Ovis aries: one gene and its partner. The protein of the gene in region 1 interacts with the protein of each later gene in a biochemical or structural test. Links are inferred from orthologs where the notes say so. Each region holds a gene or a part of one and is shown on either strand. Other genes may lie near its edges.

Region 1 (7,112 bases):
TGAGCCAAATCGCCCATAGAGCTGTGCGCCAGTCAGCAGGAGGTTGGGGGCCCCCAGCATTCGGGCGCCTCGAGTCTGCAGGAACAAGTACACACGCCCCACCTCGGCCAGCTTGCGGTCAGCACGGCTCTCCATGTACAGTGGTGCACCCACCAAGAGGTCATGCCTCCTGCAGGCCCAACGGGTGGTTATGTGGGGATGGGCTAGAGGGATGCTGTGGGCCTGAGCCCAGGCTTACCCATCCTTGCTCTCCTGCTCCCCTCAGTGTGAGTGAGGGCTGGGAAAGGAAGAGACTGGAGACCAAGGGCAGTCAACACCTCTGGTAATTTGGGACCCAAGTGGGTAGGAGTGGGGGCGCCTGGCTTCTCACCCATCCCCATTGACGTCCGTGACGGCCACTGAGTGCCCAAAATATGAAGCCATCTGCAGGAAATGGGGCACACCTTAATTTCTGTCCTCATACTCACACTTTGATCCCACCCTGTCTCGTGGAATATTCCAGGGTCTCAATTCCCTTGCCTTGGCCACCCCCACCTGATCCTCACCTGCTCTCCATGCAGCCGGTGCAGCATCTGGTGGTACGAGTCCAAAATTTCCACCTGCTCAGAAAACGTACAGGAGCATGTCACAGGGCAGGAAGTTTGGAGGCGGGGGCGGGCACGGTTCAGGCTGAAGAGTGAAATGAGTGAGGGGAGGACAGACGGCACTCACCGCTCCCAGGGTCCAACTCCAGGTGGGGGCACCGAAGACATACTCTGGGGAGAGTCGGGACCAGAAAGTGAGGTCTCTGGAACCCCCACCTGCCTCCTGCCCGCCGTTCCGCATCCCAGGGAGATGCCGGTCTTGGAAGTGCTCCTTTCCGGGCGGGACTCCCCAAACCCCACCCCTAAGTGAATTTCTTGCCTGTAGTGTTGGGATTTCCGTCGAAGTCGCCCACGGCCACCGAGTACCCTGAAGGCACAGTGAGAATTAGTCCTTCAGGGAGGGTGAAGCAGGGAAGGGGCCCGAGTGAGAACGGAGGGGACTCAGAGACCACCCAGTTCAAACTCTGCATTGCGGAGACGGGGAAATCGAGGCCACCGAGAGGTCAAGACCTGCCCGAGGCCGCGAAGCGAATTCAGCTCGAGAAGTCGACATGCTCGCCTTTGGGAGCTGGGCTGTCTGCAGAGGGTAGGGAGAGGGAGCTGCCTGAGCAGAGTGGGGGCGCCTTAGTGCTGGGGCTGGCCAGCCAGAGTTGACAATGGGGCGTTCCTACAGGGGTAGGACAGGGCTGGCGGTGACGCTTGAGTGCTGGGAAGCCTCGATGGGAAGTGCCACGTTACCCCGGTAGCCGTCGTAGTATTGTAAGTGACTGTGGTCGTAGGTGAACTGGGTGCGCACGTGCCACAAAAGGTTGCCTGGGCGGTAACTCGAGATGATATCGGCGATTGGAGCCCGCGCCAAGAGACCTAGGGCACGTGGGACAGTTAGTATGGGCGTCCAGGAGCCTGGAGTGTGCCCGGGTCGAGAGAAGGGAGGGAGGTGTACGGATGGGCACGTACCTACGAAATAGTAGCCGCCAGGAGCCCCAAGCACCAGCTCCCCAGCCTGAAATAGAAGCTCTGAAGGTGAGAGAGGGCCCTGTTTGGGGGGCAACCCCCACGCCGTTTATGCTCCCTACTCGCCTGAGTGACTACCGAGCTGAAGCCGGCTTCGCAGTAACGCCTGTCCTCTCCTAGAGAAGGCAAAAAGAAAGGGTCAGCGAAGAAGCCTGCTCTGACGAGTGGCGCCGGGCCGGGAGGCGGAGTCAAACGGGGGCGGGGCCACAGGGTAATACGGAGGCGTGGTCTACTATCAACATCCAGTGGGCAGGATATGGGGGTGGAGTCAGGAACTAGGCTATCTGGGAGACCCCAGACTGCAAGCAGGATTTGGGAATGATCGGGTGAAGGGCGGGGCTAGTGGATAACGGCCGCGAGTGGGCGGAGCCGAAACGGAGAGAGGAGCTCACTGAAATGATTTCTCTCGTAAAACTGGCTCATTTTGTTGGCCCGGCAGGGCGAGTACTCTGTGCGGTCGCCGTTTTGGAGCTGAGCCACGAAGCAGCCACCTACGGGGGTCTTCTGAGCCTCCTCCTCGTTCCTATCTAGGACGTTCCAGTGCTGCCAGGGGGCGCAGGCCTGAAGCAGAGCCAGAGGAGAGTGGGGAAGGGGCGGGACTCGGGTTCCTCCCTCCACGTGTCCCCGCCCTCCGTCTGCTCCCTGATCCCGGTCCGGTAGCGCCCACCACAATGCTGTCTCTCCAACTAACGACCGACGCCCCGAGTCCTTGCCCGGCCTTGAAGGTTTGGAAAGTTTGGGTGCCTATGCTTTGCGTTTCATCATCTGGAGGGCACAAGAAGAGAGTAGGGTGCTGAAGCCCGGCTGTCCGCGCTCCTTGTATCCCCTCCCTTTCTCTTCTTGTGCGAGACTCACAGAGGTTGAAGGGCAGCGAGATGCACTGGCCACCCTCGGCCTTCCAGGGGCACAGGAAAATGCCGCCGGTCTCCTCCTCGCTGCGGCCCAGGGTCCGTGGGGCGCCCACCACGATGGACACACTGCATAAGAAAGCTGGGTGAGAGCTCCGTGGATTCTGGGGTACCCCGTGCCCCAGTGCCTGTGCCGGGAGCACTCCTCGGAAGGGCGGTGTGCCTTGAGGGTCACTGGATCTTTTCCCAGTGAGACGACACAGACCACAGACGCCAATCTTTTCATTTTATGGCCACTGAAACTGACTCCCAGCGAGGAAAGTCACATACCCATCAGTAACCGAGGAAATTAAGGATGAAACAGAATATAACCATTAGGTTCGATTTGAACACGAGGGGTTTGACAGCCTTGCTAAAAGAGATCTCCTAAACTCTGTACACCGTCTACATTCCCCAACACTTGCCACGAAAAGCCAAGGGTTTACATGCACCGTGTTCCTGTCTAAACTGTCATCAGATCTCTTTCTGAGAACCAGTTTTAATCAGGAAATATTAAGCTAGTGGGCACCCGTAAAGTGGGTGGTGGGGTGCTGACATTTCTAAGGACTCTAGTAGATCTAGGTTCAAATGACAGCTCTACTGTATATAAAAGGTGGACAATACCAATCAATGCTGTCAGAAGTAAATGAAATAAACACATGAAAAACATTTATGCCAGTGCCAGCCAAATAATACATAACGAGGGCTCCAAAAATGCTGTAATTTGTTTTTCTTTTTAGTTTGCAGGATATTTACTAAGTAGTGCCCATGAGACCAGTATCTATGAAAAGGAGGAGAAAGAAGCAGGAGCAGGCAGGGGACATTGAGTTGAGATTCGGACTGAATAACAGCCATGGGTCAATGTCCTGGGAACTTTGGAGGGAGAAAGACCCTCAGAACTGTCTGGAGTTGAAAGAGTCAGACCGTTAACCTCTCCCCTCCCTCCACACTCCTCATTGACTGGTCATTGTTCCTGGGCCACATTTGGAAGTGGGGGAGCTTTGAGGGAGGTGGCCCTCTTCAGCAGAAGCAACTCCCCAAGGTGCTGACACTTAAAGTTCATCTGCTATTGTTATGCTCTGAAGCTGGACCTTGGTGTCCATCTCAATAAGGAACTAGCTCAGGGTTGTTGCTATAGAGAGAAAGAGCCAGGACTCTAATTTTAGCAGTCTGAATTTGCAGCCTGATGAATCCCAACCAATAATGCTCTATTGCTTCTTTTCAAATATCAATCGTTTTGCTGGGTTGAGGGGATTGGAATAGAAAGCAAAGTGGGAGTAGACAGACAATTTCACAGTTCTGCAGGTCAACTTAAGACATGTGCTCCTTTCTGTATTTCAAGGGGATGAGGGTGGAGTGGGTCATAAAACTGACCCTTGAGGAAAAAATAAGGCATCAACATCGGTCTCCCCTTTGTCTTTGCTCTGCTCAGCTCCCCACTGGTGCCTCTTGCTGACACCCTGGTATTCCTAACAAGAACTCAGCCCAAATAGACCCTGGAAATAAGTTTGCTCAACCTCTATCACAAATGGGGAACTCAAGACCCACAGAAGCAGTGATGGTGGGGGAGTTTCCCAGGGCTCACCTCCTATTGCTGTTCTTGTAGAAGTCCAGTGAAAACCCAAAGTGGCTGCCATTAGGGCCTGTGTAGATGGTGAGCTGCACTGAATCCAGGTTCAAGGCCCAGGTTGGAGGCACAGCACCAGGTCCCAAGAGCAGCTGCACCCACTCCAGAAGCCAGAGGGCACGAAGTAGACACAGAGCTCTGGCCATCTTCCTTCTCCCACAGCCTCCTAGGCAGTAATGGGTTAGCAGCTTCCCCTTTCAGTTCCACCGCAGGAAGTCTTTTCTTATCAAGCTGAAACCTACTTGCTGACTAGTAGGCAGAGTCCTGGGCCATATGGTTTCTAGGGTTGTTGGGAAGAGGGTAAGTCTACCCTGGGGGTGGATGCTTATGGCTGAAAGCCAATTCTTCCCTTTTCTTGAACGTATTTTATCAAGTCCTGCTGGTTCTGCTCTTCAACAATGTCTCTTGAATCTTCATTCCATTTCTTCTACCACCATGCTAGTCTAAACCACCACTGCTTCCTGCTTGGGATAGTGCAACACGCCTCCACTCTAGCCCAGTTCTACAGGTCCTCCTCCCCCCACACAGTTCCCTGCACTGCCAAGGCACACTGTGACTTGGTCAGAAGTGGGGGAAGGAGCGAGGAAGCTCCTGGCCCCTGATAAGACCTGAGGCTGCTGTATCCTTAAAAGAATAAGGCACTTATCCACTTCCTCCTTCTAGGACCTTTGGCAGCTTCAGTCAGTCATATTGGCACAACAGCTTCCTCGCTCATCCTCCATCTGGGGCCAAGTCTTAATGTGGCGCAGCAATGTAGCCAGTGCTGGGGGAGGGGTGGTGAATGGATCCTGGCTGAAGGGAGGAGATGGGGATAAAGTGGAGTCATCCCAGGGTGTTCTGGCTCACAGGCTTGGAGATTTGCACCAGCTGTTCAGTTGAAGGCAGGTCTAACTCCTTGGGTGACAGAGCTCTTGTCCAATCAGTAAGACTTGATTCTAGTGGGGTCATTGCCTAGGAGATGCCACTCTCAATTCCTCGGGCTGGCACTCTGGGGTTCACACACAGGGGTGCGGCACTGATCACACTGCTTTGTCATGGTCTGTTCACTGGATTTTGTTCACGGGTCCCTTGAGAATGAGGGTCCTTTCTGGTGCCCCAGGACCTAGCCAAGAGCCCATCATACCGTAGGCATTGCTGACAGACTGAATAATAGCAGGCACTGAGGACTGGAGGATGCAAATGCAGGCTCCCACAGAGGAAAGAAAAGGAATAGTTTTGAGCAGAAAGGGCATTTTTTAACGGATGTTCAGAGGAAGAGGAGTGCCAAGCAAGTCTTACTGGCACTGCATTGTCTTCCCAAAAAAGCAGGTTGTCAGGAAGGAAATTTAAGAGATCTGCTGGGGTAAAGAACATAGTCACATTGCTTTTGCTCATATTTTCTTTTTAAATATTTTATTTATTTGGCTACATTGGGTCTTAGTTGCATCATCTGGCATCTTTCCTTGTGGTGCACGGACTCTGCAGTTGCGGTGTGGGATCTTAAGTTTCCCAACCAGGGATCGAACCCAAGTTCTTTGCATTGCAAGGTGGATTCCACTGGACTACCAAGGCTGTTAAATTTTCTGATCAAACTTAACCATCATCTTATCCCGCCCAACTCCCCAGGGCCCTTCAGCACCACCTTTGTCCTCATAATTCACCTCCTTTGAGCACATAGCTCAAAATCCTATCCCTTTCTAGGTTAGAGGCACCTTGAACTTTAGTCTGGGCCTCCTTCACTGCTGAATTCCCAGTGCCAAGCTCACGGCAGGCACGTAATACTTAGTCCTGTACTTACCTTCCACCCTCCCTGTCCTCAACTGAGTGGAACTGTATTACTGGTGTACCCTGTGTAGCCCCAGATTAACTCACACTTCACCAAGGCTTTTAATAAATTCTCATTCTGTTCACGGAGAAGGCAATGGCACCCCACTCCAGTACTCTTGCCTGGAAAATCCCATGGACGGAGAAGCCTGGTAGGCTGCAGTCCCTGGGGTCGCTAAGAGTCGGGCACGACTGAGCGACTTCACTTTCACGCATTGGAGAAGGTAATGGCAACCCACTCCAGTGTTCTTGCCTGGATAATCCCAGGGACGGGGGAGCCTGGTGGGCTGCCGTCTATGGGGTCGCAGAGTCGGACACGACTGAAGCGACTTAGCAGCAGCAGCAGCAGCAGCAGCAGCATTCTGTTCAAGGCACTGAGTGGTAAGAGATACAAAGACAATTGTCAAGGATCCTTAAAAAACTTAGTCCAGAGAGAGTTAAGACATGACATGAACACATATAACTGCAGCAGAATAGTAAATGCCTTGAAAAAGGTAGGGGTGATGCCTAGCTGAAGTCATTTATATTATCCGCTTCTTCATAACAACCCAATGAATTAGCTACTATTATGTCCATTTTAGAAACGCTAAAACTGTGGCACAGAGTTTTAGGTAAATAGCCCAAGTGTACAGAGTGGCAAAAACTATGTGTCAAACACATTTGTGCTTGAACTCATGTTCTTAACCATTGCACTATATTGCCTTTTGTCAGAGAATGAAGGGGTTTTTCAACACAGGAAATAACAGAGAGCAGAACACAGAGCTCAGTTATAGAGGTAAGTAGTCAACACAGGAGAGGACTGGGGCATGAGGGTGGAATGAAGGCTGGGGTCGCATCACTGCAGGTCCTTGAATGTCTGAGAAATCTGAACTTTAATCCATAGGAGATGGAGAATCGTAGGTTTTTTAACTAACAAATTAGAGAATAAGATACATGATCAACTGTGCTCCAATCAGAATCATACTAGTTACCTATGGATAGAAGGGATTGGAAAAGGCAGGACTTACTGGGAAGATCAGATGGATGGTGCCTACCATCCTCTCAGTTAAAGGTGATGAGGCCTGAACCAGGGTACTGGTGGCAGGAGCAAAGGAGAGGGCAGAGATTACACGATCAGCAACTGCCATGTGGTAGGGAAGTGTCCAAAGTAATTCAGAGCTATGGTGGCTGGCTGGTAGGATGGTAGTATCATTAATT
Region 2 (6,635 bases), on another chromosome or scaffold:
TGGGGTCTTCTTCATCCATGAGAGCTCTCAGCTGCAGCATGGGGCAGCCCTGTGTGAGTGGGTGTTCGTCATTGACATTCTCATCTTCTACGGCACCTTCAGCTACGAGTTCGGGGCGGTCTCCTCGGACACACTGGTGGCCGCGCTGCAGCCCACCCCCGGCCGGGCCTGCAAGTCCTCCGGGAGCAGCAGCACCTCCACCCACCTCAACTGTAGCCCTGAGAGCGTCGCCATGATCTGAGGTCTGGGGAGGGTGGCTGGCCCTGCCTCCGCAGCTCCCCGCATCTCCTTTGCATTTCTTTTGTACCAAAAAAACCCAATTTTGCGAAAAGTATTCTGTTGGGAAACAGGCTGCCTCGCTCCTGGAGGAGGGGCCGTCCCACACCTGTGCCATAGAGGAGCGGGCCTCTTGGCAGGCTGCCCAAGCCACACAGCCCACTCCCCACACTGCAGTGTTATCTTTGTTTTAAAGGTCACATGTCATTCACCCAGCCACCCCTTCAGGTGCCTTCTACTCCCTCAGTGCCAAGGCTGGACCACTGGGGTTTCCTGCTGCAGGAATTGGGGGCTGGGAACAGCGAGAGGGCTACCAGTCTCGGGGGTGGGGGTGAGCACTCCTTAGTCTATGGGAAGGCCCCCTATGGGCCCACTGAACTGCACTGGGATTCTTCACTCTGCCCCTTTCTTTAGGGCAAATAACACAGCAGAACCACGTGGGTATTTTAGTACTTTTTTTAATATATATATCTATTAAAAGAATTCTAATTTGCATGTTTGTAGTCTGTTCTGAAGAAAGGAAGAGGGCCTTAATGCAGAACAGCTTCCCCTGGACAAAGGATGGGAGAAAGCCCCTGCCCACAGGGAGGGTCCTGAGTGCCCAACTGAGAGCAAAGCTGCCAAGAACAAAGGATGCCAAGTGCTATCCAAGCACCCCTGAAGGGCCTGAAGCCCTTTCTGGGCCTCTAAACAGTCTGAAGAGCTGAGCTGATTATTTCACACTTCCTACCCTGCTCAGGGGCTTCCCTAGTGGCTCAGATGGTAAAGAATCTGCCTGCAGTGCAGGAGACCCCAGTTCGATCCCCGGACTGGAAAGATCCCCTGGAGAAGGGAATGGCTACCCACTCTAGTATTCTTGCCTAGAGAATTCATGGACAGAGGAACCTGGTGGGCTGTAGTCCATGGGGTCGCAGAGTCAGATATGACTGAGCAACTAACACTTTCACTTTTTTTCACCCTGCTCAATTGTCTGGCTTGAAGACTGATTCCACACTTAAGGGATATGATGAAGGACGGGGTACAGAGAATAACTTGAAAATGTTAGAAGCAATCAGCAATGAAGCTAAAGAAAGCCCTGGGGATTCTAACACTGACTAAAGATTGCAGTGGGGAGGGAGAAATGTTGGCTAGTTTTTGGTTACCATTTTTAAGTCACTACTAGGTGCCCTGCCTGACACATTTTGTCTTCCAACCACAGACATGTAGGCCCAGGCTGTGGCTGGTCTGGTAGCCAGGTTCTTGACCTAGGCCCTATTATCCTCGGGCCAGCAGGCTTGGTAGGGAGGGATACCCAGCCTGGGACCTTCCACGGCTTAGGACCCCATCCCAGTAGAGACCCAGTGGAGGGTACAGAGCCCCTTCCCAGGCCTGAGAGCAATGCAGCAGCAGGATGAGTGAAGAAACCTTTAATGAGAGCTTGAGATGCAAGAGGAACATGTTGCAGAGGACCAGTGTCCAGCCCTAGCCGCCTCATGTGTACATGGCTCCGTGGAGGTTCTCGAGGCGGTGCTTCTGCTGCTGCTTGCGAGCCTGAAGCAAAGAGTGCACACTGGTCGGGGGCCATCCCCAAAGGCCTGTGGGTGAAGGGATAGGGCAGCCATCGTGGGGCTGGCTCACTGTTTTCAGGCCCCTAACATTTGGGCAGGAACATTGCCAAGGCCCTTGCCCCTCACCACAGTCACTGGGAAGGTGGCCAGACTCATGGACTGTGAGCCTACTCAGGCCTCCTAAGGTGGGGAATGATGGCATCAGGAACAGGGACTCAGGGAGCCCTGTGACCACCCCCTCCACTTGCCCAGCCCCCTACCTTATCTCGCTTGTGCTCCTCATAAGTGTCATCATCAGTGGGCAGCTCATGGCGGCACAGAGGGCAGGAATTGGTCTGAGAAAAGCAGTGCAGTGTACCAGCCCGTCTGGTTTTCATAAGCTCAAAACAACCATCCCCAGCTCCCAATTCCCTACCCTTACCCCTCTCCCATCTCTGATCCCACACCCCACCCCAAAGGTCCATCAACAGAAAGAGGAGGCTTGAGGACTAGGCCCAAGGCAGGGTGAGGGCTGGGAGAAAGGAAACAGTACCTTGCTCAGCCAGGGCAGAATGCAGTTGGAATGGAAGAGGTGATGGCAAGGCATCTCAATGGCGGTCTCCGCCTCCTCAAATTCCAAAAGACACACGGGGCACTTGAGCTCTTGAGGAGGGAGTGCTAATCAGGAGAGCTGCCACAGGCCCTACCTCCTAGCTCCCACTCCTGAAGGACACACTTGCCCCAGCCTGACCTGGAAAACTGAAGGGCCAGACTGTAATCTGGCTTCCAGAGTTGGTCAGCCTGGCAGACCTGCCCCAAAGAATCAATGGAAGGACTTAGTGTTCTCACCAGCCTGAGAGCCCCTGATGACTGTCCTGGGAAGGTTCTCAACTGCAGTCTTGGCAGCGGGTGGAGGCAGGTGGTGATCCCAATCCACTACTAACCCCAAGTCTTCAAAGTCCATCCTATTGAAAAGGGACCTGGGAAGAAGGATGCAAGGTCAGAACCAAAGAATCTTTGCCCCCATAATCCACTAAACATTAACAGACAAATACTCTGCCCGACTAGTCATACTAATAGCTACCCCTCAGTAGTGCTCTAGACAAAAAAGCACAGTGGGAAATGGCTTACAGCTGCTATCAGACAACCCCAGGCCATCAGACAACCCCAAGCATGCAGGTTATTTATTCCAGTTTTACACGAGAGAGAGAAATTATTCGGGTCACTCAGGAATGACCCAAAAAAGCCAAATTCCAAGTGGCAGTGTAGCTTCCGTGCTTGAAGTGCCTAACGGATATACCTACTCACAGTCACATGGCCCCTGCTCCCATGACCCGCCTACTTCAGTACCTCCTAAAGCCCACTGCCCTCCAGTTCGCACACCCCCTCTTCCACACTCCAGATCGCTTTTTCCAGAATTCCCTTGCTCTAGTCTGTCCAAGGACGACCGAAATTATCGACTTCCCCCCGAATCTCACTGCGGAATTAACTCTGCAGATTATTTATCCGTTTTACCCAGAAACTGCTGCCCCACATAATCCGCGTTCTCCAGCCAGCCTCAGCCCAGACACCTGCTGTGTGGGCCCTACCTCCCAGCCCCACACACCCACCTTGCAAGCTCCAGCAGCATGTTTGTTCGGGGATCCCGTTCACGATCCAACGGCTCGCAGTCGTGTTCATCGAAATAAGACGCCATGGCAGCCGGGCTGTCTGACACAGCCCTCAGACCCGGCCGTACCTCAGTCTCGCGGCGCTGGCCAATAAACTAGCGAGTTGAGGGAGGACAACCAATCAGAGTCCCCAAGAGGCGGGCACAGTGGCTCTTTCGCCACATAGGAAGAGGAAGTATTCATTTTGTCACCTCTCATTGGCTCGAATAAGTCAGGTGACCAAGGGCTAAAGCCAATGGCAGGGACCGAGGTGGGTCAGAAAACGGTCCTCTTGGACCCCTCGGTCTAGGGTAGGTTTCTGGGAGACGTGAGCGTATCGCATAATCTTGAGAAGCCAAGTGTTTGAGCTATAGGGGTCCTCCATCCGCTCTGCGGCTCAGAGGATCTCGGCAGGTCAGATCTTACAGGCCTCTCAGAAAGAGGGCGGCGCTGACTCAGGGGTCAGGGTTCTGCGAGCCTGGGGAAGCCTGGAGTCGGGGCTTCTCGCTGCTCTGCCGCATCCTCGCCGGGCGGTTCAGCACCCGCTGCTCTCTAGTCAGTTCAGGACTAGACACTTGACGCCGCCTCGACTCCCGCAAAACAAATAAAACTTTCCTATTCAGTTCTGCTGTGTTAGGCACAATAATAAAAGGTGGGGTAAACTCCCCCACCCGAATAGAGGCCTTACCAGCTCAGGGAACTATATGTCTGTGTGATCTTTTAGCCCATTGCTCAGCGTTTCCCCTAGCTTCTGTAAAATTAGTGGCTTGAATTTAATAAGTAGTTTGCATCTCTGGCACCCAGGAACCTCTTGGAGGAAGAAAGGAGAGGTTGCAGCTTTAGGGGGAAAACAACAACAAAAAACTCCACACAACTGTTGTTTAGTCTCAAAGATCAAATTTAACTGATCTAGGCCTCTGTGTGTGTGTGTGTGTGTGTGTGTGTGTGCTAAATGATTTGGCTGCTAGCTATCATTTATTTGGCAACTAGAATCATTCCATTTATGTTGTACACAGGGTATAAATATAAATACTCACAATTATCCAGGAGCTAGTATCATTATAGTCAAAGCTATGGTTTTTCTAGTAGTCGTGTATGGCTATGAGCTGCTGCTGCTGCTGCTAAGTCGCTTCAGTCGTGTCCGACTCTGTGTGACCCCACAGACAGCAGCCCACCAGGCTCCCCCGTCCCTGGGATTCTCCAGGCAAGAACACGAATGGGCTGCCATTGCCTTCTGTGATGGCTATGAGAGTTGGACCTTAAAGAAGGCTGAGTGCCAAAGAACTGATGCTTTTGAATTGTGGTGCTGGAGAAGACTCTTGAGAGTCCCTTGGACTGCAAGGAGATCAAACCAGTCAGTTCTAAAGGAAATCAACCCTGAATATTCACTGGAAGGACTGGTTGCTGAAGCTCCAATACTTTGGCCTCCTGATTCAAAGAGCTGACTCATTGGAAGAGACTGATGCTAGGAAAGATTGAAGGCAGGAGGAAGAGAAGAGGGTGGCAGAGGATGAGATGGTTAGATAGCATCACCAACTCAGTAAACATGTATTTGGGCAAACACTGGGAGACAGTGGAGGACTGTGGGGCCTGGCATGCTGCAGTCCATGGGGTTGCAAAGAGTTGGCTACAGCTTAGTGACTGAACAACAAGAAGTATCATTATTGCTTTTTACATATGTAAGAACCCAAGTCCAATTCCACAGGACCTCTAAGCAGTGTTGCAGACCTAAGCACAATACCCGGGGCTTCCCTCATCTTTCCCAGGAAAGGCTGATGGTGGTGAGCCTAGCGGAAGTAACGTGCTCCATGAGGGTACAGCTCCACACAACTGGAGGGTCTGTTCTTGTTTCTTTGTCAGTAGCCCTCAGTCCCCCTAACAAGGAACTGCTTCTGTTACACACTTGACCCTGAGTTCCTCTTCCCACCTACACTTGAGTTTGAGATGCAGTTAAGTAGCTCAAGCAGTGGCTGCCTTGCTTCCCAGTTCTTGGTAGGACCTTTCCTTCCTACTTGGCCTTTACCCAGTGCTCTTTCCTGGTGTCCTGAAGACACTGCCTCCCTAGCCCTGTGAAGTCCTAGAGCTTTGAAAAGCTCTTTCCCACAGGGCAAACTCCAGGCCATCCTTTGTGACTCTGCGCCTTTCGGCATCACAAAGAAAAAAGCCCTTCCCTTTTCCTGCCACCTGCTACATCTGTATGGGCTTCCCAGTGGTAGAGAATCCGCCTGCCAATGTAGGAGATGCAGGGGACTTGGGTTCAATCCCTGGGTTGGGAAAAGATCCCCTAGTATAGGAAACGGCAACACACTCCAGTATTCTTTCGGGGAAAAAAAATCCCATGGACCGAAGAGCCTAGCTAGAGTCCATGAGGTAGCAAAGAGTCAGACACAACTGAACAACTGGAAATACAGGCATGCCGCATCTGTAATCTGGTGTAGAGCCTGAGGAAGAACTTGGGGGCAGAAACTAGAGGAGGTACCCAAGGGGGAAGAGCCTCCCTGAAGGTGAGAGCCTTGTGAGATAAAGATCACGGGAGTGCCTTCCTCTTTGTCATCCTATGGGCCCTCTGAACAGCCCCAAACTCAGAAGAATAACAGATTTCATCCTCAGGAAGACAGACTTAAAGGGCACCCGTTGAAGGTTCTGGTTTGGGGGCTGTTGTATCTTTACACCTGCACCCTAGAGGGATCTGTCTGTAAGACTGGATCAATGGGGAAAGGAGAAGAAGATGTCATCTCCCAGGGCTGAAGTCCTTTGGAACTTTCTATTTTATAAGCAGCCATGGGGGTGGAGGCAGAGCAGGATGAACCAATCTGAGGATCTTCAAACACACACATGTAAGTCGCTTCAGTCATGTCCGACTCTGTGACGCCATGGACTATAGCCCACCAGGCTCCTCTGTCCATGAGATTCTCCAGGCAAGAATACTGGAGTGGGTTTCTGTGCCCTCCTCCAGGGATTCTTCCCAACCCTGGGATCAAACCCGCATCTCTTCTGTCTCCTGCATTGGGTGGCGGGCTCTTTACCGCACCACCTGGGAAGCCCTCAAACACACATACACATACACCAGTTTTTACCCAAACAGTGGTTTTTACTAAGCTCCAGGTGGGGGCTGGCTTGGCATGGCCAGTGCAGCAGGTTGCCCTCAAGGGCCAGTCTGTGGTATGACAGGAAGTAACCAAGG

What was found. The genes of interacting proteins can lie anywhere in the genome.
Region 2: the proteins of ITGA2B (region 1) and RNF181 form a complex in vitro, tested with the Homo sapiens proteins (2 studies listed by BioGRID). The link is inferred for Ovis aries from reciprocal best matches to the Homo sapiens genes ITGA2B and RNF181.

Annotation. Positions count from the first base shown.
Region 1 is NC_056064.1:43,919,807-43,926,918, forward strand, and holds the start of ITGA2B (integrin alpha-IIb), read right to left. Parts: upstream 4,291-7,112; 5' UTR 4,259-4,290; coding exon 4,071-4,258; intron 2,576-4,070; coding exon 2,454-2,575; intron 2,364-2,453; coding exon 2,266-2,363; intron 2,160-2,265; coding exon 1,991-2,159; intron 1,715-1,990; coding exon 1,665-1,714; intron 1,588-1,664; coding exon 1,542-1,587; intron 1,449-1,541; coding exon 1,323-1,448; intron 952-1,322; coding exon 904-951; intron 756-903; coding exon 712-755; intron 600-711; coding exon 546-599; intron 424-545; coding exon 371-423; intron 170-370; coding exon 1-169. UniProt on the Homo sapiens protein: Integrin alpha-IIb/beta-3 is a receptor for fibronectin, fibrinogen, plasminogen, prothrombin, thrombospondin and vitronectin. It recognizes the sequence R-G-D in a wide array of ligands.
Region 2 is NC_056056.1:57,437,464-57,444,098, reverse strand, and holds RNF181 (E3 ubiquitin-protein ligase RNF181), read right to left. Parts: upstream 3,539-6,635; 5' UTR 3,499-3,538; coding exon 3,413-3,498; intron 3,064-3,412; exon of another isoform or gene 2,934-3,063; intron 2,783-2,933; coding exon 2,652-2,782; intron 2,466-2,651; coding exon 2,356-2,465; intron 2,159-2,355; coding exon 2,084-2,158; intron 1,851-2,083; coding exon 1,683-1,850; 3' UTR 1,668-1,682; downstream 1-1,667. Other genes in the region: TMEM150A (transmembrane protein 150A), read left to right, coding at 1-241.